Saccharomyces cerevisiae S288C: one gene and its partners. Changing the gene in region 1 together with any one later gene gives a genetic interaction. Each region holds a gene or a part of one and is shown in the gene's direction. Other genes may lie near its edges.

The links.
Region 2: of MPT5 (region 1) and LRG1, a mutation in one rescues a mutant of the other (synthetic rescue), as found in Saccharomyces cerevisiae (2 studies listed by BioGRID).
Region 3: mutations in MPT5 (region 1) and CLB6 impair growth when combined (synthetic growth defect), as found in Saccharomyces cerevisiae (one study listed by BioGRID).
Region 4: of MPT5 (region 1) and PUF3, changing one suppresses a phenotype caused by changing the other (phenotypic suppression), as found in Saccharomyces cerevisiae (one study listed by BioGRID).

Annotation. Positions count from the first base shown.
Region 1 is NC_001139.9:164,930-171,605, forward strand, and holds MPT5 (Mpt5p), read left to right. Parts: upstream 1-2,422; coding exon 2,423-2,425; intron 2,426-3,065; coding exon 3,066-5,642; downstream 5,643-6,676. Other genes in the region: serine/threonine protein kinase TOS3, read right to left, coding at 1-162; YGL176C (uncharacterized protein), read right to left, coding at 6,486-6,676. UniProt on the Saccharomyces cerevisiae protein: RNA-binding protein involved in post-transcriptional regulation. Negatively regulates expression of HO by binding to the 3'-UTR of HO mRNA. Predominantly binds to mRNAs encoding chromatin modifiers and spindle pole body components.
Region 2 is NC_001136.10:20,597-27,246, forward strand, and holds LRG1 (GTPase-activating protein LRG1), read left to right. Parts: upstream 1-2,226; coding exon 2,227-5,280; downstream 5,281-6,650. Other genes in the region: YDL241W (uncharacterized protein), read left to right, coding at 39-410; ADY3 (Ady3p), read right to left, coding at 5,807-6,650. UniProt on the Saccharomyces cerevisiae protein: Acts in signal transduction. Activates CDC42, RHO1 and RHO2. Negatively regulates 1,3-beta-glucan synthesis. May be responsible for the down-regulation of CDC42 during mating.
Region 3 is NC_001139.9:704,218-709,185, reverse strand, and holds CLB6 (B-type cyclin CLB6), read left to right. Parts: upstream 1-2,684; coding exon 2,685-3,827; downstream 3,828-4,968. Other genes in the region: YGR109W-A (gag protein), read right to left, coding at 704-1,576; B-type cyclin CLB1, read right to left, coding at 4,135-4,968. UniProt on the Saccharomyces cerevisiae protein: Involved in G1/S and or S phase progression. Interacts with CDC28.
Region 4 is NC_001144.5:121,575-127,928, reverse strand, and holds PUF3 (mRNA-binding protein PUF3), read left to right. Parts: upstream 1-3,214; coding exon 3,215-5,854; downstream 5,855-6,354. Other genes in the region: rRNA-processing protein SOF1, read right to left, coding at 1-406; YEH1 (sterol esterase), read right to left, coding at 674-2,395; EMC6 (Emc6p), read right to left, coding at 6,281-6,354. UniProt on the Saccharomyces cerevisiae protein: RNA-binding protein involved in post-transcriptional regulation. Negatively regulates expression of COX17 by binding to the 3'-UTR of COX17 mRNA. Promotes decay of COX17 mRNA by enhancing its rate of deadenylation and subsequent turnover.

The DNA of each region.
Region 1 (6,676 bases):
GGCTAAAATTTCAAAGTTGTTAAGGATTTGTCTCTTAGTTAAGGGATTATATAATAGTTTGACTTTTCTTGTCTCTTTTATACGACTACTACTATTGCTCGCATTATTATATAACAGAGATGATCGAGGCAGCGGCTGAACAGGTTCTTTAAGTAGTACCATATTCTTCAAAGCTTCCTTTTTATATGCAGAATATGTGCGCAGCAATTTCAAGGCGTAGAGTACGAGTCACTAGAGGCTCGAGCATTATATACCACTTACAAGTAGTGTTTCTTATTGGGGACACCTGTCCTAACAATGTATGGCTTTATATACCGCGCGGATAAGTAAGGCACACCCGCTCTTCGTATAATACCCGCACAAAAGATTCAGGGACCGGGTATGCTCAACGAAAAAAATAGCCAAGATTGTTGCGAGTCCTCATCAATGAGGACATACAGAGAATAAAAACAGCCATATTTTGCTTGCTGAAGGACGTTGTGCAAACCGAAGATATCAGCGGTAGTCTTTATAGGACCCGTTGGTTTATTATATACAAAGGGATCTTTAAAAGGTCCGGTGCGAGGGGACGGGTGGAGATGGAAGTTATCAACCAAATGCAATTTATCCGAAGCGCAAAAAAAATAAAGGTGCTCCGATGGACCTTAGAAAGGAACTCCAAAATGCTGTGATGGACCGGCGAGGGCGGTAAACGAAACTACCACATTGCATAAGAAACAAAATGTACGGCCCCTTCTACACAATCTATTTATGGTTTTCGTCTTGACCTCCTAATTACTTAATTAATGATTACATTTCTTAAAAGCACAAAAATAAAGTAGCTACCCTTCTTAAGCCATAGTAGTTAAAGCCTCAAGTGCATTGATAATCTCCTGACCCTAGGTCGTCTTTCGCGTGGGCTATCGCCACCTAAGGAAAGGATTAAATGGAGCAAGTATTGGAAATGTAAAGAAATTGCAGAATGTTCTGATTACTTTTCATCACCCAAAGAGTCCATACTACCACTACCACCAACCATTGCCGGTGAGCGGTTTCTTGCTCATTAACATGACGTACAAGGGAACGGAATGTCCCTTGTACGTTGTAATGTCTTTTGCTCTCGTAAAGAAGCCTATACACGCCCCTTCCTTCCGCCCTTCGGCATCCGCTGCCAACTGGGTGGGGGCTCAATGGATCTCTTTACTCTGGCCCTTAGAAGCCTTCTGAAATTCTCGGCTTAGGCATCGAACGATGAAGAAACTAACTAAAAATATACGCCATTTTTTTGGGGAGGGGGGGCCGCACTGAAACGCGAAATGCCAAAAAAACGCGAAACGCCGCAGTAAAAGGTCAGTACCGCGCAAAAAATACAAAAATGACAACAATATTGGCCTTTCTTTTCCTAAAGCAATTAACTGGAAAGCGAGGTTCTAAACATCTGGCCAACCCCTAAATTTTTAATAATTCCGAAGCGGGATATATTGCATCTGGCAATCTGAAAAGCAATAGAAAGAAGCGGCCTAGTACTGCATAGTGAGTGATAAAATATACATATTAAGGTTGGGGAAATGGTACGCGCTTTCAAGTAGCTAGAAAGATCTGAATGTTCTGAAGTACGGTTTGGATTTATACGCGGTTATTTCCTGGACTAGCTTAGAGCCAATTAATACTGACGATTGCCTCTTTTTCTTTACCGTTTATGTATGCTGTATGCCCTTTTCATGTATAAAAGAAGGGTAATTTAAAAAAGTTTATAATCATCCAGATTCCTTATTTTTTTTCTTCTTTCGCCAGGTGTTTTACCCAGCTAAGACTAACCTTGTGGTTCAGATTACACTAGTATTGCCGTCCGATATTACAATTCTGAAATCAGTTTTCTTGTGATCATTCTTTTTTTCTCTCTTGCCATTCTTAAACGTGGCCTACAAGAACTCTTCTTCTTTCCTGGTTCGCATCTGTGTTAAACGTATAGATTTTCTTACATAGAGGCCTAAAAAGCATAATAGGTGGTTTCCTTTCAATATATATCTGAAACATTGAATATACTGAACACAATTCACATTTCAAAACCTTGGGTACTGTTGAGTCAACATCAAGATCAGCCTATTTCATAATTTACTTTATCTTTTCACACAAAAAGAGAACAGGTAAAAAAGAACAGATCTGCTAGCCCCGAGAAGATCATTGACACATCATTGATTGGCAAGTTAAGTAATAAAAGAAAGGTAATAACATCAAGAAGTCAAGCGCCTTGAAATTACTAGATTTGGACTACGGATCAGCAAAAGCCTGCTACTACAACCGCCACTTTTACTATTCCTTAAGATAAAAGCTAAAAAACCAAAAAAAAAAAAAAAAAAACCTCCTCAACTCCTCTCCAACACATAGTAAAGCGAATTCTACGCAAATTTATAAATCAATTACGATTTTTCCAGTTTCTCTTATGGTATGTATTATCTCTTAATTCCCAATATTTTTCTTCGCCAATGGAGCATAAGCTTTAACGGGATCTTCTAACAACAAATAGCATAATAACCAAAAACCAGCTTCAGTGGGATCAGCCTATCGACACGCCTTTTTTAGCGGTCTAACAATCTCCGTTTATGTCGTATGGAATTTCTGATACTTGACCCTACCTTATTTCTCGAATATGCCTATAAGGATTTTCTCGAAAGAAGGGCTTCGGGAAAGAGGCGCCTCAGGCAAAAATGAGCAAAAAAAAAAAAAAAAAGAAAAGATTCGAAGATCTATGAAAAATTTATGCAGATTCGTTGAGAGTTATAAGGATTTTACTCTTTATGGTTATAGGTTTCATTCTAAAATCAAGCATAAATTTTGTGTTTTGTCTTCCTCTTTTCCTGTCCTCTTTTTTTGCCATCCTCTGTCGCCATTGAAGTCGAACTTTATAGATAGATTTACTCTTGATTCTCACGCATCTCAGGCCACCTGGACACTGTACATGGTTGTGATTGTTCTCTTTCTCAGTTATCGAAATTGATCCTAGGCTTATACTCCAAAATCGGCTCTGCACACGCCTTATTTTTGTGGTTTCACTTTACTAACACAACATTCTTTTATTCAATCAGATCAATAACGAACCATTTCCATCTGCCGACTCAGCATCGATTTTAACTACGTCTACATCAAATAACTCCTTAATGTCTTACAATCATCAGCCTCAACTATCTATTAACTCCGTCCAATCACTCTTGGAGCCCGTGACCCCTCCGCCTTTGGGCCAGATGAATAACAAAAGAAACCATCAAAAGGCTCATTCGCTTGATCTCTCTGGTTTTAATCAGTTCATATCATCGACACAATCTCCCTTGGCTTTGATGAATAATACATCAACATCGAATTCTGCTAACTCTTTTTCCCCGAATCCTAATGCTGCTAGCAACTCCACTGGGCTTTCAGCCTCAATGGCAAATCCTCCAGCCATTCTACCATTAATCAATGAGTTTGATCTGGAAATGGATGGTCCCAGGAGAAAATCAAGCCACGATTTCACGGTTGTTGCTCCTTCGAACTCTGGTGTCAATACCTCCAGTTTAATTATGGAAACACCATCCTCTTCAGTGACTCCTGCTGCATCTCTCAGAAATTTTAGCAATAGTAATAATGCTGCTTCCAAATGTGGAGTGGATAATTCGTCATTTGGTTTGAGTAGCTCAACGTCTTCATCTATGGTCGAAATCAGCGCACTACCCCTTAGAGATCTGGATTATATCAAACTTGCCACTGACCAGTTTGGCTGCCGTTTTCTTCAAAAAAAATTAGAAACCCCCAGTGAATCCAATATGGTGAGAGACTTGATGTATGAACAAATTAAGCCATTTTTCTTGGACCTTATTTTGGATCCGTTCGGTAACTATTTGGTTCAAAAACTATGCGATTATTTAACTGCCGAGCAAAAGACATTATTAATACAAACAATATATCCAAATGTTTTCCAAATATCAATCAATCAGTACGGAACTCGTTCCTTACAGAAAATTATAGACACTGTCGATAACGAAGTTCAAATCGATCTCATTATTAAGGGATTTTCCCAAGAATTTACTTCGATTGAGCAAGTGGTTACTTTGATAAACGATCTTAATGGTAACCATGTGATTCAAAAGTGTATTTTCAAATTCTCGCCATCAAAATTTGGTTTCATCATAGATGCTATTGTAGAACAAAATAATATCATTACCATTTCTACCCATAAACATGGTTGTTGCGTACTACAAAAATTACTAAGCGTTTGTACTCTACAACAAATTTTCAAAATTTCTGTGAAAATTGTGCAGTTCCTTCCTGGATTAATCAACGATCAGTTCGGTAATTATATCATCCAATTTCTGTTAGATATCAAAGAATTGGACTTTTACTTATTGGCTGAGTTATTTAACCGTTTATCCAATGAATTATGTCAACTATCTTGTTTGAAGTTCTCCTCAAATGTTGTGGAAAAATTCATTAAAAAATTATTTAGAATCATTACTGGATTTATTGTTAATAACAATGGGGGTGCCTCCCAAAGGACTGCAGTTGCTTCTGATGACGTGATTAATGCTTCTATGAACATTCTTTTGACTACCATTGATATATTCACAGTCAATTTAAATGTGCTAATCAGGGATAATTTTGGTAATTATGCGTTACAAACGCTATTAGACGTTAAGAATTATTCTCCTCTGCTTGCTTACAACAAAAATAGTAACGCAATTGGGCAAAACAGCTCTAGTACATTGAATTACGGTAACTTTTGTAACGATTTTTCATTGAAAATTGGTAACTTGATTGTCCTTACAAAAGAATTACTTCCAAGTATTAAAACTACATCCTATGCAAAGAAAATTAAGTTGAAAGTTAAAGCTTATGCAGAAGCCACAGGTATACCATTCACTGACATATCTCCTCAAGTCACTGCAATGAGTCATAACAATCTTCAAACGATTAACAACGAAAATAAGAACCCCCATAACAAAAATAGTCATAATCATAATCATAATCATAATCATAACCATGCTCACAATAATAATAACAATAATAATCAAAAGAGTCATACCCGTCATTTTTCTTTACCAGCTAATGCTTACCATAGAAGAAGTAACAGCTCTGTAACCAATAATTTCTCAAACCAATATGCACAAGATCAGAAAATTCACTCTCCGCAACAAATTATGAACTTCAACCAAAACGCATATCCCTCGATGGGAGCACCTTCTTTCAATTCTCAAACTAACCCACCATTGGTAAGCCATAACTCGTTACAAAACTTCGACAACCGCCAGTTTGCAAATTTAATGGCACATCCTAATTCTGCTGCACCAATCCATTCGTTCTCATCATCTAACATTACCAATGTGAATCCTAATGTTTCAAGGGGATTTAAGCAGCCTGGATTTATGATGAATGAAACCGACAAAATTAATGCTAATCACTTCTCGCCATACTCTAATGCAAATAGTCAAAACTTCAATGAATCTTTTGTGCCTCGTATGCAATATCAAACGGAAGGTGCAAACTGGGATTCAAGTTTGTCAATGAAGTCGCAGCATATTGGTCAAGGCCCATATAATCAAGTTAATATGAGCCGCAACGCTAGTATTTCCAATATGCCTGCCATGAATACCGCTAGAACATCTGATGAACTTCAATTCACTTTGCCATAATACTTTTTTTTCTTTCTTTTTCTTTCCTTCTTACTGTACAAATATTTTACGCAGAAATCAAAGACAAAAGAAAAATAAAAAATAAAAAATAAAAAATTCAACTAAGCAATGACGTCCTACTAAAGTCCCAAAATTTGAGCCGGAAAAAAATGGTAAAGCAAACTATTGCCATCTTTATATTTTGTATTCTGTTTCCGAACACGTATCCAAAATCCTCCCACTGCCTTTGCAGGGTTAGCATTGCTCCCTACCAAAATGATCTAATTTTTTTTTGAATCGTTTTTTGTCAACGATTATTTTTGTTTTAAATTCCTCATCTTCTGAACTTACGCCCAACTATTATTTAATTCATTCATTCATTAAGCAATCCATACGTCCATTCATTCATTCAGTTTTCTTTTTGTCTATTACTGTCATTTTATTTTCAAATCCAATTGTCCTTTAGGACACTAATGTGTTAAAATATCCATTCGCTCAAGCATTTTTAATAAATAGGAAAATACCGTTTGTTTTTCTTTGTCATTTGTATAAATTTTTCTACTGGTTCCTGTCTTGGTTGGCTTTATTATATTTAGGTTTAACTTGTACTAACAATGATACATATTTGTATATTTTATTATAATATCATATCTAACTATATCTAAAATCGTTGAACTATTCAGAATGGAATTGTACACCAAGAAGAATTATGCTATAACACCATAAGGTCATTACATTTGGGTTTTGACTGCTAATTAGTTCGAAGTCGGCGTTAAAATTTAAAGAATATTTATACATATGAATATGTATATGAATGCAAAGTATGCTAAAATATTTATAAAGCAAAAATCTCGGTGGGCTAAACTAGGTCAAAGCAGATGTTATGAAGATATTGGCCCCATTGTAGGGATCATCTTCTCTCCGAATTAAGATGCATATTTTTTGAGAAAGTGCTTCTTCAGGTATATCGTAAGGTGAAGTACTGCTCTCTTCACCTAGAGGTTCCACAGCATCAAACGGATTTACGTACCTTGGGGGTATGAAAGCCGAATGTA
Region 2 (6,650 bases), on another chromosome or scaffold:
TCACACCCAAGAAAAATCTATAATAGAGACACAAAAAAATGAACGTAACTGAAAATGCTCTATTGTTTAAGTGCGGTAGCAAGGGCTATATTAATCAAACCTATACGCCGACAGAAATTTATAATTGTGGGGTAGCTGAAGGAAAGAAAACTGCTAAAGAAAAGAACCCAACTTATTCAATTTTTTATGATACATTTCTCACTGGGCAGCCTGCTGAAAGTCCTGAAACGTTTACGTGTGGTTCGCATGGCTTCACAAATGCGAGTTATGTGGCAAGCGACTTTTATGCATGTGGTTTTCTGCAAGGGAAAGGTACAGAAACCAATGCGGGAATACATAATACAAGGCCTTCTCATTCTCTCGCCAAATTTACCATACTGTTCATGCTAGTGTTGTATACAATTGTCTAATTCTCAAGGTATGACACTTTGGATTGGTGGTCGCAGTAGCCACCATATAATTTTTTATCGTTTCTACATATAATACGAGACAGTCAGACAGAACTTTGGGTCGCCTGAGAAGAAAGACTATAAAAATGTAACCCGTCAGTAGGACTCATCTTAAAACAGTGGGTAATTTACTAAGGAGGCTGGAAAAACTGCGATAATCGGCTTATAGTACATATATATAGAATAATCATTAATCGAGCCTTTACCGCGAAATTCATGGATTTCTCAAAAACAAAGGTGCAATTACATGTTAAGCACCGAATTTCTATGCGAAACAGGTCCGTCTCATCAGTCATAGCTTTCCAAGTATATAAAACTTGAACGCAAAAGTGCGTCATCGACGCCTTTTTTTGCGCAAGGATTGTTACTATTCATTTAATGAACTCTGATGTCTTAATAAGCCAATGGTATCCATAAGTGAAGGTGAAGTCTACTGTGTTACATTAGCAAGTCAGAACTCCTATACGATACAGTATACTGCATTATGGGCACTAAAATAATTTAGATTATAGAAAATATCGATACTATGCTTCCACTTCTCACGAAGCGGCCATGTTTTAAATGAAGTACGTTAACGCTAACACAAGGCTTGACAACTTTCATGAGCGTCAAATAGTCTACGTGTGGGCTCACTTTTTCAGATTTCTTCTTGGCTTTTGTGAGATGTATAATTAACAATAATCATAAAATCGCTACATAAAACAAAGCATAAAAAATTACAGATTTCCTGTTCAAAAATCAAATCGGTCCAGTTCAGCTATTGTTCTGCCGTTGTTCATGCTCAGAAAATTGGACCATGGTGTCATCTAACTTTAGTTGGTCCCATTAAGCTCTCTTCTGTATATCATGTTTGCCATATTGTCATATCATCTGCTTAGTATTAAACCGTTGTGGAAAACAAGAAAATTGCGAATTACTAGTATAGAAAATGCATTCTAAGTCGCCTGTGATTCCAATAGCAAAGAAATTGATCTTAATGGAAGTAGGAAATAGCTGTGGCAAAGAGACAGGATACTAAGATTGGTTTAAGGCGAGGTCATACTTAGCTATTTCCTTCACCAACATTGGTTTTCGAACAGTCAAGAGATGAAAACGCAAAAAAGTGCACTATAAAGTAAATACTCAAACGTTCCCAAAACAAAACGAGAAGAAGCGATAGGCACCTCAAAACTGAAATTATGGGCAAACAATATAACCCGTAAAAGATCACTTTACGACCAGAACATAATCAACATGGGTGGCCCCCATGTTGTACTCAGTTAGCTTTTTGAGCTAGCAAATATATCAAGAAGCCCGCATGTGCTACTTACGTTTGAATTACTTCTCGTTGTAACGCACTTTTCTACAACGTACCTCACTAGTAAATATAACTTAATGCTTGCAGGTTAGCCCATCGCTACAACACCTCCCCACAAAGTATTTACTTCAAGAAATCGATCTTGGCGAGTATATCCTTATCTTTATGTAAGTATCTTTTTCGTCTTCAAAGTATGCCGGGTATTGATGGGCACGGAAGATGTAAACAAAATGGAAAACAAATAAGAACAGAATCTGAAACGTCATTTGAGAATTTAAAATATGTAAATCATTCCTCTCGAGCCAACCAAGGCTGTTCTTGCTAGAAACCAGCAATTGGGCTTCTCATTCAAAACAGTATCCGTCTTTGCCTTAACATTGTTATTTGGCCTTTATCCCAGATATACGCAACCGTATTTATTCAAATCCAAAGAAAAAAAGAGCAGACAAATTATCAAACAACAAGTACCGGAGGTGAGCAATGATTCAAAATTCTGCTGGTTATCGATCGCTGAATACTGCATCTCCGATGACCGTGCAGGTGAAGAATCAGAAGAAAATATGCGCCCGTTGTAACAAGTTAGTTATACCCGATAGCCAACGAACTAAAACAACTTTAAAGGCTCTCGGTAAATATTATCATGAAAGTTGTTTTACCTGCCAAGACTGTCAGAAACCTTTAAAACCGAAGTACTTCCCATATCAAGTAGACAAGACAAGTGAATCTATATTGTTATGCCAATACGATTATTTTAGAAGACATAATTTGTTATGTCATGTATGTGATACCCCATTGCGTGGATTATATTATACCGCATTCGGTTACAGATACGACGAAGAGCATTTTTCTTGTACAATATGTGCTACTCCTTGTGGGGTTAAAAAATGCTTCATGTACGGAAACCAATTGTATTGCAAGTACCACTTTCTCAAGTATTTTTCGAAACGTTGCAAAGGGTGCGAGTTCCCAATATCGGATCAATATATCGAGTTTCCTAAAGGTGAAGAAATACATTGTTGGCATCCGGAATGTTATGGAATTCATAAATATTGGCATGTAAATTTAGCAGCAGAAACTGTTGGTTTGCAGTACCTTCCCAAGCTGGAATATAACCCAAATTCCGGAGACAAAGATATAAACCCAACTGCCTACGAGTTAGATAAACAAATGCAGGCGTTTAACTTTATTCTATCTAAAACGTGGTCGGTTTTATATCGTTTTGAGGAAGAGGCAGCTTCTTGCATTTCTGATATGTTTCAATATTTGACAAGCAATGATCAGTTAAAGGGCATAGAGTCTACGGGTCTGTTGGTACTAAAAATCGACTGTCTTTTCCGGGGACTGGATACTTTAAACCTCTCGACGAACAAAAGTATGCCAGTTAACAGTGATCAAGAATGCATTGAAAACAACGCAATGGCGGCCAGTAAATACAGCAAGTTTCCCAAAAATCTGTCCACAAAAATTATGATATATTTACAACTCTTAAGAAAGTTAGGGACAGAAAACAAAAACGAAACTATCACAATTTCATCTTTTATGTCTGTTATTACTGGATTAGCCCATTTTCTAAAACTGTTAACAAGATTTGGGCTATATACGGCTCTAGAAAACAATAAGTTGACTCATTCTGTTAATCCATTGTTGAGGTTTTTAAGAGAAGTAGAGAAAAATGAGCTTTTTGAAAATAACCCGTTTCAGTATATAAAGACTCCTGTTAACGCCACAGATAGTTGCGCTGGATGCAATAAATACATACAGGAGGAATGCATTCAATTTTATGAGCACCGGTGGCATATTGCTTGTTTTACTTGTTCTTCATGCCATAAGAATATAAATCCGAGGAGTTTGACGGATCCCACCTTTAATAAAGAGAAAAAAAAGATACTATGTTCTCACTGCTCAATTGATGATCCGGCCTCTGTGCCGGGTTTCAAATTTGTTACTAAGCTAGCACAACTAATTTTTCTTCTAAAAATTGCCCTAGTCAAATCAAGAACTGTAATGTTGAAATCGAAAGCATCTAACAAGGTAGGCAGAAACTCTTTACAGAGTACTATGCTAAAGGAACAAACTTACATTAGGACACTGAATGATATTAAAAGATTGAGATCTAGAAGAGAAAGTGTTCGGGTCACTCATAACAAACAACAAGCTAGAAAATCAGTGATACTGGAAACTGCAGAGACAGATTTAAATGACCCGACAAAACAAGGAGATAGTAAAAATCTTGTGATTCAAACAGATGACCCATCATCGAGCCAACAAGTGAGCACACGTGAAAATGTTTTCAGTAATACTAAGACGTTGACACTAGATGATATTTCACGTATTGTTGCCGCTGAACAAGCAAGGGAGCTAAGACCTAACGCTTTTGCACACTTTAAAAAACTAAAAGAAACCGATGACGAAACTTCGAATGTTGTTCCCAAGAAAAGCGGAGTTTATTACTCTGAATTAAGTACGATGGAACTCTCGATGATAAGGGCTATCAGTTTGTCACTGCTAGCTGGTAAACAACTGATATCGAAGACTGATCCTAACTATACTAGCTTAGTCTCAATGGTCTTCTCGAATGAAAAGCAAGTCACAGGTAGCTTTTGGAACAGAATGAAAATCATGATGAGCATGGAGCCTAAAAAGCCCATCACTAAGACTGTTTTTGGTGCTCCTTTAGATGTGTTGTGCGAGAAATGGGGTGTTGATTCCGATTTAGGTGTGGGGCCAGTGAAGATTAGGATCCCCATAATTATTGACGAGCTAATATCATCTTTGAGGCAAATGGATATGTCAGTAGAAGGTATTTTCAGGAAAAATGGAAATATCAGAAGACTGAGAGAACTAACTGCTAACATCGACAGTAATCCAACAGAAGCTCCAGACTTCTCGAAAGAAAATGCAATCCAATTATCTGCTCTTTTGAAGAAATTTATCAGAGAGCTTCCCCAACCGATTTTATCGACAGACTTATATGAACTATGGATTAAGGCCGCGAAAATTGATTTAGAGGATGAGAAACAGCGTGTTATATTGCTAATATATTCCTTATTACCCACTTACAATCGCAATTTACTGGAGGCACTTTTGTCATTTTTGCATTGGACGTCCTCATTCTCTTACATTGAGAATGAAATGGGATCAAAAATGGACATTCACAATTTATCCACAGTCATAACACCTAATATTTTATATTTGCGACATAAAGAAATTTCCAATGATAACGTCCCTGACGAACCAGAATCAGGTTTAGTTGATTCATTCGCTCAAAACAAGGGAGAAAATTACTTTTTGGCTATTGAGATAGTTGATTACCTGATTACTCACAATGAAGAAATGGCAATGGTTCCGAAATTTTTAATGAATCTTTTAAAAGATGTGCAGTTACAAAAATTAGATAACTACGAATCAATCAACCATTTTATTTCCACCGTTATGCAAAGTAAAACAATCGATTATTCCGAATGTGACATAAAAACTCCTGTCACAGTCAAAGATTCGACCACAACGGTCATACAAGGTGAAATAAACAAATAATAGGCAGAAACTGTAAGTTTCCCCTCATTTTCCTTTTTTTCTTCTCCTTCCCCTCAGATTTCGAGGTTTGTCGTTCTTATTAGAGTTCTTTGCTTTTTTCTTTGCCTATTTCAATAAAATCTTACCAGTATGCTATGGAAATGGACATTATTTTATTATTATACAACATAGTATATTCTGACTAAAATGGAATTAGAAATTGTAACATTAGTATGTACTTATAATCATTTGTATCATTGTATTACTCGCCTTTTGATGTAAATTTTGTTTATATCTCAGAACATCTCCAACAGCAGATCAGAAGTTACATTGTTCTTGTAAGTGCTTAAGAAGTCTGTTAGCAAATTGAAATCTTTCAGAAGAATATTCCACCAAAATTTCGGAAAAGCAATACCAGCGGTAAAATATCTGCCATGCTCTATATTATGTGACTTTATTTTAGGTGCACCCCCCACCAGTAACTTATTCTCTAAATAATAATTAATGACACCATTGAATATATTAGTTCTAAATAAAAAAAAAAAAGCTAAGAAAAGAAATATTTAAACAACGCTTGCAAATCATACTCAAGAGGATGCTTTACTTCAGCAATATCATGATTGTTCAAAAACTCATTCATTGCGACCTTTCTTCTACTTTTGAAATCTAACTGTTTACCAAAAACCTTAAGGTTCAAATCATTAGCAAATTTTGTGAGAAGTGTAAGCTCACATCTAAGTTGAATGACAATTGTTGGTACAATTTTTAAGAAGGTTTTTAATGGGATATCCAACACAATTAATAAATTTTTGATTAGATTTTGCGATTGCACATAGGTAAGGTCTGTCAGAATATCAAGACCCAAGGAGTCGTACTTTTCCTTCGTTATATGTGGAAAAGATTTTCCAACAGTTTCAAAATTAAGTTCGGTAGAAGGATCACCATATAGTTTTTTTAAATTCAGCTTCTCTTGGAATACATCTTCTTTTAGTGATAGAATTGTTTCTTCGAGTTTTAATATTTCACTTTGTTTTCCAGCTAACTCGTCAGTAATTTTCTTATGTGTGTTTTCTGACTCTTGAATTTGAGTGCTCCATCTTGAAGCAATCAAAGCCTGATTCTGAAGTTTCTCAACAATTTCCTGGTGTTCATTCATGTAATCGTTCAATTTATCTTCGGCATTTTTCTGAATTTTTTCACTTAGTATTAATTTTTCTTTTAACTCGCTCTTCAGTTTTTGAAAGTTTTCTTCCTTGAGGTTCAGGATATCATGCCATCTCCTTTTTTCCAAACGAAATTGTTGTTCTTTTGTTAACGCCTCTTTTTGAAGATATTTTATTTTGTGACTGTGCTGCTGTTGCATAAAATGTAATCTTTCATTAATCAATTTA
Region 3 (4,968 bases), 540 kb from region 1:
TTCTAGGATGCTCGCTTCTTCAGGTATCGGGAATTGCGCAAATGTACTTTGAGTACTACCTGGGTTATCAAGGGTCGTAAGCGGGTCAATTGCTGCAGGAGTAGTGGTTGCAAGAGACAGGGTTTTGGTTCTGGAGTCACCACGATTACCAGCGGATTTCGGGTCAGTTGCTTCGAGAATGGTGGGGGCAAAAGACAGTTTTATGTTTCTGGGGTTACCACGATTACCAGCGGAGTAGGTTCTAACGTTATTAACGGTTTCGGAGCGATAAGTCTTGGGCTTTAAGGAGTCGGGGCTCTCTCTGGTATTCAGTACTGTGTGCAGGATTTTCGGGTAGCGGCGTAAGATTGGATTTCCAATTAACAATTGGTAGTCCATGTTATCCAGTATGTACGCGGCTAAAGTTATATGCAGGTCATTGATTTTGAGGTCAATGGTGACTGCTTCGGATGTAACGGCGGATTTGGTGGCTACGAATCCTCTAAAACGGAGTGGAGGGGTCTCGTAGATTTCGTATTTGAGAAGTTCTACAATATCTCTTCGGATAAATGACGTGGGTGATCCACTGTCAAACAGGGTTTTTACTTTCGTGTTTTGTATTTTTATGGTTTTTTCGGCGGTATTGTCCATCTCGGGGATGGCGATATAGTGTACAATTGGTAAGGTTTTGATAAAAGGAGTTTGTTGGTCTTTTGATTCGAGTTCAAGATCGGTTAGAACTCGCCTTACGTGCTCTACATTCGTTCAGGCGATGTCCCTCTTTCTTACAATAGAAGCATAGCCGATTTTTTATACATTCTTCTCTAGATGGGTTGTTATTTCTCCTGTTTCGATGATTTGACATTGGTTTATTGTAAGATCTTCTTGTCCTTACGGTATGGACGTATCCATTCTGGGTCAGATTATCTTCTGAATCATAGTCAGAGTCGTATTCTTCTTGTAAGTGGGTTGTGGCACCGATGATAGTGTCTCCATCAGCATCAAGTTCGAATCCTGGGAAGAATCTTTCAGTTAGTGCAGTTGTCTGGTAAGCCTCTTCCATGGCGTCTTTTAATGTCTCTGGTTTGTGCATTCTGACAATATTATAGGTTTCCTTTGTCAATAGCCTAGTATATGTCATTATGGCAGCTTTTTCGGTCATGAAGTCTGGTGGCATTCTGTCCCAAATCTTTCTGAATCGTTGGTTGAGACGCTCAATACCAAGTTTAGCTTCGGAAAGTTGCGTGATTGCATTAAAGATTTTATTGATATCTGGTGGCTTATAGAAATGCTGATATAATCCTTGTATGAATGTGTCGAATGTTATTTCAAGTATACCTTGTTCTTGTACAAAGTCATTAGCCCACTGAGCAGCGGGGTTTAATAAATGTCTTCTGCAGTACACAATACGACTGGCATCATTCGGCCAAGATATCATAGACATGTTTAACATTATTTCGGAGATAAAGTTTTTCAGTTTATGCGAGTCATTTCTACCTCTGAAGGTCAAAGATGGTTGGATCGGGAAGTTAGGAAGGCATTCTACTGGGAGTTTTGGATAATTTCCTCCTCCTGGGATTTGATCCATAAAGCTCATACTGGGGTGTGGTGTAGCTAGGTTCGGCTTTTCGATGGTTCGTTTGAACAATTAGTAACCTTTAACGCTACCAGGTGTTGTATTACGGGCTCGAGTAATACCGGAGTGTCTTGACAATCCTAATATAAACAGTCTTAGGGAAGTAACCAGTTGTCAAAACAGTTTATCAGATTAATTCACGGAATGTTACTTATCTTATATATTATATAAAATATGAATCATACTAAGTGGTGGAAGCGCGGAATCTCGGATCTAAACTAATTGTTCAGGCATTTATACTTTGGGTAGTTCAGCTAGGGAAGGTCGGGTTTTGTCTCATGTTGTTCGTTTTGTTATAAGGTTGTTTCATATGTGTTTTATGAACGTTCAGGGTGACGTATTGTCATACTGACATATCTCATTTTGAGATACAACACTTTCAGAAAATCAAGCTCGTATGGCGCAGTGGTAGCGCAGCAGATTGCAAATCTGTTGGTCCTTAGTTCGATCCTGAGTGCGAGCTTTTTATTAACTAGGTGGTCCTTCCATGAAAGTTTTTTTTTTTTGAAGATGTTCTTTTTTTTTTTTTGGGCCTCATTACAATGTAAGAGGTTATTATGTGTTACATGAGTAAAGCTAATTGACGCAAGCAGGTAATGAAGAAAGCCCTATATTACCGTATAGACAATGGGCGCGTCCCTAAAGAGGATACCAAATAGCAGTTTTACGCGTACCACAAAATTTAACGACCAACGCGTATTCTTCGCGTTTTTTTTTTGCGACGGTAAACAAAAAAAGGGCCCTCTGCGGTAAAACAAGTGGGTCTACCACAGGACACAGGACTTGGTTGTTTCTACTCTCCCTGTGTATCCTACAATTGGCAATTGGCAATTCGCAACCTGCGTTTAAATATTTACCGTTTTAGCACATTGATTACCTTTTTTGCTAGGGTTAAGTTTTTGCCTTTTTCTTATTAACATATATATAACTGCTTCATTTCATACAAGTGACTTTTATCTTTTATTAAATAATAACAAGCTTCACTAATCTAGCGTTCATACAACATACAAATCAGTGTGTTGAAAATTATTATTCTCTGATATTCTCTCCCTCCTTTTAAATTTTTAAAATGAATTGTATCCCTAGTCCAATTAGTGAAAGGAAAATCCAAATTAATAATGAAGATTGTATAGGCAAGGAAAATGCTTTCCATACCATTCCAAGAGAAAGTTCAATTAACTTGACACCTCACTCTACGAATGAAAAAAAAGTTCTATCCGAGGTAAACAGTAACAAAATCGATTCTTTACAACTCCCTCGAGGTAAATTGCAAAGAGATTCCACCCATTTGGAAAAAACAAGAAAGAGACAATTATCAAATGATTCAACCGATCCTATAGAGCCAAAAACTGTGAAAAAAATAAAATGTCATCAATGGAAAAATTTGGATTCGATAGAGATGGATGATCCATTCATGGTAGCAGAATATACAGATTCTATATTTTCTCATCTTTACGAGAAGGAAATCCAAATGCTACCGACACATAACTATTTAATGGACACGCAATCTCCCTATCATTTGAAAAGCTCCATGAGGGCGCTGTTAATTGACTGGTTGGTTGAAGTTCATGAGAAATTTCACTGCTTACCTGAAACATTATTTTTAGCGATCAACCTGCTAGATCGATTTTTATCACAAAATGTTGTTAAATTGAATAAATTACAACTACTATGCATCACTTGCCTGTTCATTGCCTGTAAATTTGAAGAAGTTAAATTACCAAAAATAACAAATTTTGCGTACGTGACTGACGGTGCTGCCACTGTCGAAGGAATTAGGAAGGCTGAGCTATTCGTTCTAAGTTCTTTAGGTTATAACATATCTCTACCAAACCCCCTAAATTTCATTAGGAGAATTTCAAAAGCTGACAATTACTGCATTGAAACAAGGAACATGGCCAAATTCATCATGGAATATTCGATTTGTTGTAATAAATTCATCCACCTGAAGCCATCATATTTAGCTGCAATGTCCATGTATATCGCCAGAAAAATTAAAAATGAAAATTCCAAATGGGATGAAACTTTTATTCATTATAGTGGCGGCATTGATATTGAATCAGATCCAGCGTTTAAGGATTTTATCAGTGAACTAGTTGAAGATATTGCTGTACCTGATACGAATCTAGATTCCTTGAGACTTAAATACAAAAAGCCTAAACATGGCATGGTTTATTTCAAGGTTTTTGACTGGTGTAAACAAAAACGTTGAAACATAGATCAAAATTATAGCCAGCTAACCCCCTGCATCTTAAATATCATCGATAGACATACTTCTTTATTTCTTTTATGTATTCAAAAAAAGAAAGAAAATGCATTATTCCTCACTTTAAAGATAATTTTCCAATTATGGGAGAAAAAATTTATAAATGAATTAATTATTACAGCCTACAAAACTGATACCGTGTGATAATATATATGAGATAACCGTTATATGAATAATGAATGCCTGATTTTTCTATAAAATAGATGATAAAGTAAGGAAGTGAGATTTTGGTTTTCTGTGTAGGCTAGCACCTTCACTCATGCAATGTCATAATATCATATCCATTTTTCCTTACCTTCAATGCCCATTCGATAGAAATTATGGAAGCCTTTAAAAATCTTCTCGATTGATATTTTTTCAAGAACTCGTCGTGAATAGTAGATCCAACAAGATAATCCATCAGTAATTGGCAAACGGGATATAGTTTTGCCTTTGTGTAACCACCACTATAATGGATTAAGTTGCCATCCCAGGTGCCCTTGCCCAGCATTTTTCTCGAAAGGAACATTGCCGCTGAGGCACATAATGACGGTAATATCCCGATGAACTTGAAGTCCACTATAGATATTTCCATTAGGAACTTCGCTAACGTCCTAGACTGGATATCATAGTCATCCGCTTTTGATATTCTCCTTAAGAAATTCATTGGGTTAGCGAAACTAATTTGAAAATCGAGTTTTTCCAATATAAATCTTTCACCCTCTTTAATATCTTCCACAGAGCATGCACCGTCTGTCTCGTACGCAAAATGTTTTATGCTAGGGGAGTATATTTCCTCATACTTAGATGCGATGAACAGGCATGATGTACCAACCAGTTGCAATCTATTTAACTGAACCACCTCTTCACAAAGAAATCTATCCATTATGTTTATGGCCAAATATAGAGTTTCCGGCAGAAGGCCAAACTTATTATGAATCTTGATTATCCAGTTCACCAAAATGTCTCTGTTTTGCTTAATATTTTTATGCTTATAGAGATTCGCCTTATTTGGCAATGTGATTATTTCCAAGTGATGCAAATAATCGAAGATATCATTAACCTCTTCGCTCACCATTAAGGGATCATCACAATCTTCTTCATCTAG
Region 4 (6,354 bases), on another chromosome or scaffold:
TAAAATTTTGGCTCTTCAAATCTGGCTTCTTGTCATGAAAACGAGGCTGTGTCACACAAAGACCAGTAACGAGTCCATAATGCGCCTTAAAGGAAACAAATTCTTCTCTAGTAGACATGTTCCAGTATTTAATCACACCATCTGCAGAACCAGTAGCCAATTTATTCAGACTACCATAATTTTTGGCAATAGCATAAACACCATCTCTATGACCGTATCCTAACTGACCCACAAAGGGTTTAGCAAACATTCTTTCCAATTTGGTGGCATTCAAAGCTTTAGTATATTCACGTGCCCTTTCAAAAGGATGCAATTCAGGGTTCAAATTCCTGGGCATTTGAGATTCCTGCGTACTTTTAACAGGGACATAGTCATCAGCACTTCTTTTAATGGTCTTAATCTTCATTTTAACGCCTTATCTTCGCGAGTCAAACTACGTTAATGAAATGCGGTTGCTTTATACAACTGTAATGTAATTCAAACTCATCGATTTTTTTTCAATATCAAATTTTTCAAAAAAATGTATCGTTATGCACGGTGATGTCCCAACTCCCGACAATTTGTGACACAATACTTCAAAAAAAAAGAACAATTAAAAACTAAAAATTTACTAGCCCTCTATCTATGTATTCCCAAGTATAATTTATATTAACCTATATATCATGCTTCCTCTTCAAGCCTTCTCAGCAACCATTTCCAGCTCCGTTTCCACCTCTGTGTCCGAACAATCACTTTCAAAGGCGCTGGATGGCTTCTTGGAGTAATAGTTGTTCAAATTCTGTAAAATTGGTTTACCAATTCTCTCTATGACATCATGTGCCCATAGGACATCAATATGGGCATACTCATCAATGTACCAGATCTTGTAGTTGACATTCGACTCCACATTGACGAAATGATTGATTAGTCTTTCTCCGTCCACCAATCTATCTTGCTTTGGAACAAACAAGTAGATATTTGGGGCCTTTGATGCGTCTGAAAACCACTTAACATTGTCGGGGAACATCTTATGGGAACCAAATTTAAAACTTACCTTGTTGGGGTCGGGTGACAGCCACCATTGCATCAACTTCACTGAAACATGGACTGGCGAAAACAGGAAATGGCGATCTCTTAATGCGGTATCCCAAAGGGTATCGTTCCAATCAAACAGGTAATTGAAGATGGTGTAACAAACAAAGGAGAACAAGCTCTCACCAACGCACAAGTTTCTTACAATCATCATTATCTCAAAAAAGCTCGTTTCACCAAAGAACCAGGGATTTTCGATTTCCTTTGTCATAAGCTTAACAAACAATTTCTCGTTAAGTAAGGGACCAGGATACACTGCGGGGGCCAAGGCAATATAGTTTGCGATCTTAGAAGTGAAAAAAGATTCTTTAGATCCCGAACCGGGAGGGAAAAACTTATCTTCGTTGACCAAGCCCATAAACCCCTGTGTAGTGCCCTGAGAATGCGAGATCAAAGTAAGCTTTTCAAACTGCGTCTTAGCTAACACGGTATCAATCAAAAGGGTCAGATCGTACTTAACCATCTCGCGAAGGTCCCAGTCCCACCTGGAAGCTAGTGTCGGTACTTTCGCTTCGTTCCATTCCGGCCTAAACCCGCATCTGTTATTCCCTAACCATATGTCGTAACCGGATTGATACAGAAAATATGCCAGAGATTTTCTACCATTGGATGCGAACGAACCACTGCTTTGCAAAAGGCCATGTAGCATCAAAATGGGTGGCCTCTTCTTCTTGTCAGAATCTGTCGTTCTATATTTTGGTATCAAGTGCCACAAATCTATAACAAACCCATCTTCGGTCTCCAATCTAAATTCCTCTATTTGAATATTGTACTGGTTAAAATAATAATTAAGATCCGCAACTAATGTCAAGTCTTCCGATAAGATTAGATTCTGTAATGGATTGTCGCACTGTACAGGAATTTTTTCAAAAACCGGTTCATGATTGGCAATTTCATTGCTACTATTATTGAACTTTCCTTGCGTTACGCCTTCGGTAACTTTTTCCTTCTCGATAAACCTAAAAATAAGCTTTGTCAAAAATTTGTGAAAAAGGTTTTTATGCAGTGACGAGGACCCCACTTCGTGGTTCTTTTTACGGACAACCGTTCTTGTATGATCGTAGACGATACCGTTTTTCTTGTCATGTTCCAGATCGAGGTATGGCGTCGCGTATGCATTGGTTCTAGTGAGAACATGGTCATGGTGTACGTTTCTTTTACTTTCGTCATCAACTTCGATTTGGGTCGATGAACTCCTAGTGTCTCTGTGCTCATTTATAAAATGGTGTGCCAGCGCCAGAACAAGCACTACTGCCATAAAACAGCAGACTATGAACGTTGCTAGTAAATTCCTAGCTCTTTTCAACACCGCAGAAACACCCATCGTGTGAATTGTGCAGTAAATATACCTATATATAAAACTATTACTTTATCTGCAGCCATCTATATTAAAAAATAAGTATTTTTGTGTATAACAATAGATTTCTATATATATATGTATATATATATATATATATAAATTTAGATTAACCACAATATCATTTTATCGCTGCATTTTTTTCATCTTCTTTCGTTCCTTCGCGTTTCTTTTCTCGTATATAATAAGCTTTTGCACATTGCCTGCGATACGTCCGAAAAGGGAACGTTTTTTCCCGATCAGACCGCCCCAGAACTTCTCGAAGAAAAGTGCCCGAGGGCAGAGCAGCAAGACCTAAAAAATTCGTGCCGGGGTTTGAGCTAGAAAAAGAGGGCTAAAGATAAACATCCGATCGCTATCTACGGTAATTGCGCACTCTGTTACCCTGAACTGCATTTCTTTTTTCCTTCTAAAAATTGTGGAGAGAGGAAGATAATTTCCCAAATGTACCATTAGCACACTTGAGAATGTATATTGGATGTATGAAGCTTGATGAATAGGAGAAAAAAAAAAACAAAGAAAAGAAGGAAAAAGAAAAATAAGTGGTGCCTGCACATATTTGAATATCTACTGTAAATAGTATAACACTGCTTAGCTAATTTTTTTCTGGTCATCTGGTCTCTAAAGAGAAACATAAGAAAAAGATAGGAACATTGAAAGGCGGTGAAAAGGAAACTTCCTTGCTACTGATATATCTATAAGCATAGAAGTACGCAAGCAAACAAGAAAACAAACAAGAACTACGCATTTAAATTTCTTCTGAATAACGCAATATTGCGGGTATAAATGGAAATGAACATGGATATGGATATGGATATGGAACTCGCATCCATAGTTTCTTCTTTAAGCGCCCTGTCCCATAGTAACAACAACGGCGGTCAGGCCGCCGCGGCCGGCATTGTGAACGGCGGTGCTGCTGGATCACAGCAAATTGGCGGCTTCAGAAGGTCGAGTTTCACCACGGCAAATGAAGTAGATTCAGAGATCTTGCTGCTTCACGGTTCCAGTGAATCTTCACCGATCTTCAAGAAAACCGCCCTATCAGTTGGTACTGCTCCGCCATTCTCCACGAACTCGAAAAAGTTTTTTGGTAACGGCGGCAATTATTACCAGTACAGATCAACCGACACTGCCTCCCTGTCATCCGCATCGTACAATAACTATCATACTCATCATACTGCGGCTAATCTCGGGAAAAACAACAAGGTCAACCATCTTCTGGGCCAGTATTCAGCTTCCATTGCTGGTCCCGTTTACTACAATGGCAATGACAACAACAACTCTGGTGGGGAAGGGTTTTTTGAGAAGTTCGGAAAATCTTTGATTGACGGTACAAGGGAACTGGAATCTCAAGATAGACCCGACGCTGTCAATACTCAGTCCCAATTCATATCAAAAAGCGTCTCTAACGCCAGCTTAGACACACAGAATACTTTCGAGCAAAATGTCGAGTCTGACAAAAACTTCAACAAATTGAATAGGAACACTACTAACAGTGGTTCGCTTTACCACTCCAGTTCAAATTCAGGCTCATCTGCGTCTTTAGAGTCCGAAAATGCTCATTACCCCAAGAGAAATATCTGGAACGTAGCCAACACACCAGTATTTAGACCTAGTAACAATCCAGCCGCTGTTGGGGCCACAAATGTCGCGCTTCCTAACCAACAAGATGGGCCTGCAAATAACAATTTCCCCCCCTACATGAACGGCTTCCCACCCAATCAGTTTCATCAGGGCCCTCATTACCAAAACTTCCCCAACTACTTGATCGGATCTCCTTCAAATTTCATCTCCCAGATGATTTCAGTACAGATTCCAGCAAATGAAGACACCGAAGACTCAAATGGTAAGAAAAAGAAGAAGGCAAACAGACCTTCTTCTGTTTCTTCACCTTCGTCCCCTCCAAACAATTCTCCGTTCCCGTTTGCCTACCCCAACCCAATGATGTTTATGCCACCTCCACCACTCTCTGCTCCCCAGCAACAACAGCAACAGCAACAACAACAACAACAAGAAGACCAACAACAGCAACAGCAACAGGAGAATCCTTATATTTACTACCCTACTCCAAATCCTATACCTGTCAAAATGCCCAAGGACGAAAAAACCTTCAAGAAAAGAAATAACAAGAATCATCCTGCAAATAACTCCAACAACGCCAACAAACAGGCAAATCCTTATCTAGAAAATTCTATACCCACAAAGAATACCTCTAAAAAGAATGCTTCTTCCAAATCTAATGAGTCAACGGCCAACAACCATAAATCTCACTCTCATTCTCATCCTCATTCTCAAAGTCTACAGCAACAGCAGCAAACGTATCATCGATCGCCGTTGTTAGAGCAACTAAGAAACAGTAGTTCTGACAAAAATTCAAACTCGAACATGTCACTAAAAGACATCTTTGGCCATTCCTTAGAGTTTTGCAAAGATCAACATGGTTCACGGTTCATTCAGCGCGAGTTGGCCACCTCACCAGCCTCAGAAAAGGAGGTCATATTCAATGAAATTCGCGATGACGCCATTGAGCTTTCGAACGATGTATTTGGTAATTACGTCATTCAGAAGTTTTTTGAATTTGGTAGCAAAATTCAAAAAAATACTTTGGTTGATCAATTTAAAGGTAACATGAAACAGTTATCTCTACAAATGTACGCATGTCGTGTAATTCAAAAGGCGTTAGAATATATTGATTCCAATCAAAGAATTGAGTTAGTCCTGGAATTATCTGACTCCGTTTTGCAAATGATCAAAGATCAGAACGGTAATCACGTAATTCAAAAGGCCATCGAAACAATTCCTATCGAAAAATTACCTTTTATCTTAAGTTCTTTAACTGGCCACATTTACCATCTATCTACCCACTCCTACGGCTGTAGGGTCATTCAAAGATTGTTAGAATTTGGTTCGAGCGAAGATCAGGAAAGCATTTTAAACGAATTGAAAGATTTCATACCATATCTAATTCAAGACCAATATGGTAACTATGTCATTCAATATGTTTTGCAACAAGATCAGTTCACCAATAAGGAAATGGTCGATATCAAACAGGAAATCATAGAAACTGTGGCCAATAATGTTGTCGAATACTCTAAACATAAATTTGCCTCCAACGTGGTCGAAAAATCTATTCTTTATGGCTCTAAAAATCAGAAGGATTTAATAATTTCTAAGATTTTACCAAGAGACAAAAATCATGCTTTGAATCTGGAAGACGATTCTCCAATGATTTTAATGATCAAGGATCAATTTGCCAACTATGTGATTCAAAAATTAGTTAATGTCTCTGAGGGTGAGGGTAAGAAATTGATCGTCATTGCCATTAGAGCATATTTGGATAAACTAAACAAATCTAACTCCCTAGGAAATAGACATTTAGCCAGTGTTGAGAAACTTGCAGCATTGGTTGAAAATGCGGAGGTGTGATTAGTGTTATCATCGTTCTCCTTTCACTTTTTACTATTTTTTTTTTTTTTTTTTTTTTTTTTTTTTCCTCCATTTGTCTTTCACTTACTCTATTTTATTTTGTTTTATTTTGATATCTACTCTTGTCCATAACATTTATGTTCCCCTATATTCATTATTTGCTTTTTTCCATTACCTACTTTTTGTACCTCATCTCTATTTTTCTGCAAAAATCTTTGCGCTCTTACGCTCTTCTTATTTCTGCAACAGATAGAGAATTTAACATTGTGTATTTGAAATCATTTGACTGAGAATACTGTTGTCATGTCTTTTTACATAGAAGGAACTAAAAAAATTTAAAAAAAAAAAACACAAATAACATTATATTTACTGTACATAATAAATCAAGCCTGTTTCTAACCGTTTATAGAAGTAGTTCTTATATGTTCATCCGATTAGGGCGTATCCAAATGTCCATGCCATGACAAAACCAGTTATCTCTCTAAAAAACGATTCGAAAA